Linked DNA regions of Kluyveromyces lactis. The protein of the gene in region 2 purifies or fractionates together with the protein of the main gene of each other region. This does not show direct contact. Links are inferred from orthologs where the notes say so. Each region holds a gene or a part of one and is shown on either strand. Other genes may lie near its edges.

What was found. The genes of interacting proteins can lie anywhere in the genome.
Region 1: the proteins of DBP5 (region 2) and RPS3 purify together in Saccharomyces cerevisiae (affinity purification with western blotting; 3 studies listed by BioGRID, with this or other methods). This does not show direct contact. The link is inferred for Kluyveromyces lactis from reciprocal best matches to the Saccharomyces cerevisiae genes DBP5 and RPS3.

The regions. Positions count from the first base shown.
Region 1 is NC_006040.1:705,031-707,577, forward strand, and holds RPS3 (40S ribosomal protein uS3), read right to left. Parts: upstream 1,309-2,547; coding exon 595-1,308; downstream 1-594. Other genes in the region: SHR3 (Shr3p), read right to left, coding at 1-175. UniProt on the Saccharomyces cerevisiae protein: Component of the ribosome, a large ribonucleoprotein complex responsible for the synthesis of proteins in the cell.
Region 2 is NC_006042.1:1,475,826-1,479,181, reverse strand, and holds DBP5 (ATP-dependent RNA helicase DBP5), read right to left. Parts: upstream 2,070-3,356; coding exon 660-2,069; downstream 1-659. Other genes in the region: STD1 (Std1p), read right to left, coding at 2,468-3,356. UniProt on the Saccharomyces cerevisiae protein: ATP-dependent RNA helicase associated with the nuclear pore complex and essential for mRNA export from the nucleus. May participate in a terminal step of mRNA export through the removal of proteins that accompany mRNA through the nucleopore complex.

The DNA.
Region 1 (2,547 bases), on a different chromosome or scaffold from region 2:
ATAGAGTCTGGTAGTGTTTCAAAGCGTTCTCAAAATGCTCCGGCGTGGCAGCAGGATTGAATAGGATATTATAGTCATATGGTTGATTAGAAAAGAAGATCCCCATCAAAAAAGTAGTTGATCCAATGATCAATGCTGTACCTACAGCACAAAAATCCTTATAAGTTAGGCCCATATTTACTTTCAGTCAATGTGTTTAGTGAGCGATACCTACGTTCTCTTAAAAATGGAACGTATAGACCCTACGTGTGGTATTAAATGGTTAACAATTCATCTATAATTGAGCCATTGGTTTTTTCAGTACGCACTATATATTCTCTTTTTTTTTAATAATTTACATGATTTTTGCCCACCGAATTTTTTTGATTAGTATGAAAGATAAAGGAACTGAAAGGCGGAAAGGCATTATCGGAAGGCGCTATCGATAAATCATTTTAAAAATCCATTGATAAAAGCAGGACGTTTTAATCGATGTCATCTGGGCATAGATTACTTATTTTTAAAAGAATTGATGAGTTTCTTAATATTTATACATATAAGAACGGTATTTAATAGACTAATTAATAATATAGAATCAAACAGATATCAATTGATTTAAGCAGATTCAGCAGCTTCAACTGGTTCAGTTGGTCTGTAATCCTTGACAGAAGGTTCCAAAACTGGTTCTTCTTCCTTTGGTTCGATGATGGTAACAGCATCTGGCAAAGCCTTTGGACCAGAGGTGTTTCTAGATGGGTCCTTCATGATCTTAACCTTAATACCCAAAACACCTTGTCTCAACAAAACGTGTCTGGTAGCGGTTTCAATGAAGTCGTTGACTGGTTGACCGGAGTGGATCAAGAAACCGTCAGCGAACTTCATGGACTTGGCTCTAGCAGCTCTCAACTTACCGGAGATGACAACTTCACAACCCTTGGCACCAGATTCCATAACGTATCTGACAACACCGTAAGCAGCTCTTCTGATGGCCAAACCGTTCAACAATTTGAACTTCATGGATTCAGCTTGAGCAACAGCGGACAAACCACGGTCATGGACTCTTTCAGCGTATAAAGCAATGGTACCACGCTTGTACTTGAATCTCTTTTCAATCAACAAGGTCAATTCGTTGATTCTTCTACCATTTTCACCAACAACATCTTGAACCTTAGTAGCTCTGATGATAATTTCGGTCTTGGTTGGAGTAACTCTGACTTCGACACCAGAGTAACCTTCTTCAGCCAATTCTCTGGTGAAGAATTCGTTCAATTCGGCGTAGAAAACACCGTCAGCGACAAGCTTTCTCTTCTTGGAGATAATGGCAACCATTTTTACTTTATTTGTTCGTCGGGGAGCTCGAAATTATAGGTGATAATAAAACTAACTAAAGTAAGTATCTTGTATGTCCAATGGCACTTATGTTCATAATGAACCAGATTGTAAAGCGATGATGAGAACAATATTCGTCAAACCGTCCGAATCGCTGCGATTGGTATGGTGAAAATGAAAAAATCATCTGAAAGACAGTATTTACTCACCAACACATGTGGTGTATGGGTTAATGCTTCAGATAAATGAACATTTTCAATGAGATAAGTACCCAAAATGGCAATGCAGAAAAAATTGGAAAAAAAACTAAAACAAAAATGTCCGGGTGAGCAGTCCCAGGAACATATATTTTCAAGTCACCTGGTAAGCGTAGAAAACTCGCCGTAAACAGAAAACTTCAAGACCGTTCCTCCATTTCCTAATGGGGAAGTTCCTAAATAGGATTTATACGCGAGATGTTCCACCCCCTGCATTGGTTTATGTGAATACTCGAGAGCCTTGTGGTAACTCGCATCACTTAGGAAACAGACAACACAATTGTTTCAACGAATAATAAAATGGGAAATAACATAGGAATTCCAGACAATGTTGCAATCACGGCGTGTCACAGCTGCATACTTGTTATTCCGAAAAGAAAGTACGTCAATATTGACCGGGTTTTAGCAGGTATATGACCCAATATTGCTTCGGGTAATTACAGGATGCCGTTTCGTTTTCTCTCTCTCTCTCTGTTTCTCACAATTTGAACGAAAAAAAAGAATAATATTGGGAGCCAGTACACCTGCAGAGGGTACAGCGAGCACACTCGAATATACGGAATGTACCAGAAATGCCTCAACCTACCTACCCACTACAATCCATTATAACAACTACCTTTTCATGTTCCTAGTAAGTTTTCCCTAAGGCCAAAAAAAAAAAAAGAAAATGAAAATCAGCTACTTGCTCACTCGAAACAAGCACATCGATTGGTGCAACTTGTGTGAATAAAAAGAAAGAACCATGTAGGTAGGCAGCTCATTTTGTAAATGGTTTTCTGAGATGTTCGGACTCCTGCACAGCCTTTATAATGGGCCAATCAATTCCACTTTGTAACTTACTAGTTCACTCGTAGATCCTTTTACTGGTTGCCTATACAGTTTATTCCGTCTACCGCACAAAGCACAAAACTGCGCTATTCACTCCATTTCCTAGAGCCAGTACCTAAGAAATCGGTAAGACGACCATTTCTGATTGTTTTCA
Region 2 (3,356 bases):
TGGTAAAAATAGTGCTGTTCATAAAACATTTTGATCGGATGTAATGTGTACCAACTCGAACCTTGCAGGCTAAAGATGGCACCGCCATTCATTTATCAAAATAGTTGTTGCGTTTGTTAGTAAAAACATGGTTTCGGAAAGAATAAAATGACTAAGTAAGCAATCACAGATATGTACCTAAAACACGAAGCTATGCAATTGCGCACTCAATTCCAGGAAGTATGAAAAGAAATTCTATTCACATCATTCTGACATACCGATAATAATGTTGATAATCTTAGCAGAATCCATCTTGAAGTTGTTGTTTGGTGCTGGTGGCCCCGTTTTGTTTATACGGGCAAGGTTTATTAGATGGTTAAACTCTTTGCCATTTCATTATTTTTATAGTTTGTTTTTTTATTTTTCATTTTTCCCTTTCAGAATTTCCGCTGTTTTGCAATAGGGTCTTGAGATATGCCAATGCTGAAGACCCTCATCCAATAGTGCCAGTAATCACTAAAGAATGATAGTGGTAAATATGTGTATCTGTAACTTCACGTCGAAACCGTTCCATGTTTTGGTCAAGTTGATTTTTATTTCAACTAATCGATTACTATTATTATGACTGTAAAAGGTATCAATAGGGAAAATGTATATAAAAGTAGATACAGTACTTTTCTCTAGGCCTTTAAAGCTTTTTTAACGATGGTTTCCATTTCATCCAGATCATCGGTTGGGACTTTAGTAATTTCGATATCACCAAAGTACTTTTGTATAGCCGATAGTACTTCGAACGATTTCTTGTCGTGAATGAATGAAATAGCCACACCGGTACGGCCAAATCTACCGGTACGACCGATTCTATGAACATAGGTTGAAGGGTCTGCTTGTCCATTAGGTAGTGTAGGGAGATCGTAATTGACGACCATGGAAACGGATGGTATGTCGATACCACGAGCTAAAACGTTTGTTGTGATCAAGACCTTGGATCTACCCTCTCTGAAGTCATCGATCAATCTATCTCTATCTTGACTTTGTAAGTCACCATGCAAGATTGATACCTGGTGGCCCTCCTTTTTAAGTTTTGCATATAGCAAGTTGGCAGTTTGCTTTGTTTTCACGAAAATAATGGAAGAACCAATGGTTAATAGACCATAAAGTTCAGATAATATTGTGTATTTGTGTTCTTCGTTGTCACAGTCCATGAACAATTGTTTGATGGCACTAACGTTGACCTCATTCTTTTGTAATTCTAAAGAAACTGCAGTTGGGATGATCTTCTTGGCATATTGACGTACCCCGTCATCAAAAGTGGCAGAGAACAACACTAATTGACATGTCTTGGGTAAAAATTTCTTCACACGGATACATTGATCACCTAGACCTTGTTTGTCTAACATATTATCTGCTTCATCCAACACGAAGACTTTGATTGATCCCAAGTTTAACATTTTTCTACGAATCAAATCGAGAACTGTACCAGGTGTACCGACAACTATGTTTGCAGTTATCGGCTTATTTCTTTCGAATGAATCCGGAACCACTAATTGTGAAGAAGTCTTAGTAAATTTACCCATTTCTTGGATAACTTCTAAAGTTTGTCTAGCCAATTCTCTCGCTGGTGATAGACAGATGGCCTGTGTTGAATTGACATTTGGATCTACACGAGTCAACATTGTCAATGAAAATGCTGCCGTCTTACCCGTACCAGATTGTGATTGTGCAATCATGTTATGTGGAGGATCTCTAATCAATAATGGTAAAGCTTTCTCTTGAATCTTAGATGGCTTTTGGAACTTCATTGCATACAACCCTTTCAAAAGCTCCTCAGATAGACCAAGCTCTTCAAAAGACTTTACACTATACAATGGTGAGTTTGCATCTGCCTGCAAATCGGCAAGATTAACCTTCACTTCGTATTCAGAGTTAATAACCTTGTTTGCTGGTTCTTCAGCTTTAGTCTCTTTAGCATCTTCCTTCTCAACCTTAGTTTCAGATGTTGTGTCATTGTCCTCAGATGCCTTTTTTGCAGGTTCTTTGATGTTCAAACGAGCCATCAAATCACTGGCTTCTTTGCTTAGCTGTGCCATCTTGAAGTGATTTTTTGGTTTCACCGATGGGTATGCAGTGTCACAAATTAGCAAAGACAACTTCAATAGCTTACCTCTGCTATTCTATGTCTTTAATACTTCTGTAGTTTTCAATTTCTGCAGCTTTGTAAATTTTAAACCAACGAAAGATGGAGGAAATATAGTTACCCTACCTGGTGAATAATACTAGTTACAATCGAACTAAACGAATAAATATTTATATACTGTTAATATGTGATGTAATAACTGCACTTAAGGCAGTACTGTGCAAGATATGGTCATAAATTTAGCTTGGTACGCAGTTGAAGGGATAGCATTAAAAAAAAAAAAAAAAAAATATATATATATATATGTTCATTAGAATGAGAAAGTTTTCCGTAATTGTAATTTCCAATTGATCATGACTGGATTCTGTTTGCACTGACATTGTCAGGTGTCCAATCTAAACCTAGTCTTTGGTACACTTGCAGTTGGCAATGGGACCAGACCATTGACTTTTCGTCTTTTGTTAAAGACACTTTCGTAGGTACTTCGACTAATGGCACAGGAGCTTGTTGTTGTTGCTGTTGCAAAGCCTGTTGCTGTTCAAGTTCCAATTGTTCCTCGATCTTGATTTGAGAGTTTCTTAGTAGTGCCCTTCTGAGCAGCGAATTCTTAGACTTCTTCGGTATTATTGATGGAGGTGGCATATTAGGTTTCTTTACAGTATTTTGCTGCTGAAGAATCATGTTTTGTTGGAGAGCTTGTTGTTTCAGTTGATCTAACTTCCATTTTTTGTACTCAGAACAAGCCTTCTTGAAATCAAATCTACATTGTGCCTCAACTACAATGTTAAGTAAGTAGTTCTCTATAATGTTTCTCCATTCAGGCTTCGATAGTTGCATGACTGGTTCGTGATGGCCTATTAGCTCTTCGTGTCTTTTCCTAGCTGAATTGACTGTATATTTGGCACTGGTTAGCTTAAACTCGTAGTCAAGATTAGCTTCGATATAAAGATCAGAACTTACCAACGTCGATATGATGAATTCATCTGGGGAATTCAGTGGTAATAACTGGAACCTGAACTCAGGAATAGATGGTTCCGTACCATTGTTACCCTGCAGTTGATTGAATGCTATGGTAGGAAGTTTCCCGTTCCATTCGGGCCTCAAGGACTCTATTATGAGTAACGACCTTATATCATTAATATCCCAATCTAAAAGTTCTCTCTTAGTAAAGTTCGGCCTTCCGTTGCTCATCAAATTTTGAGGATTCATCAAAATATCTGGGCTGTACATGTCGTAGAAT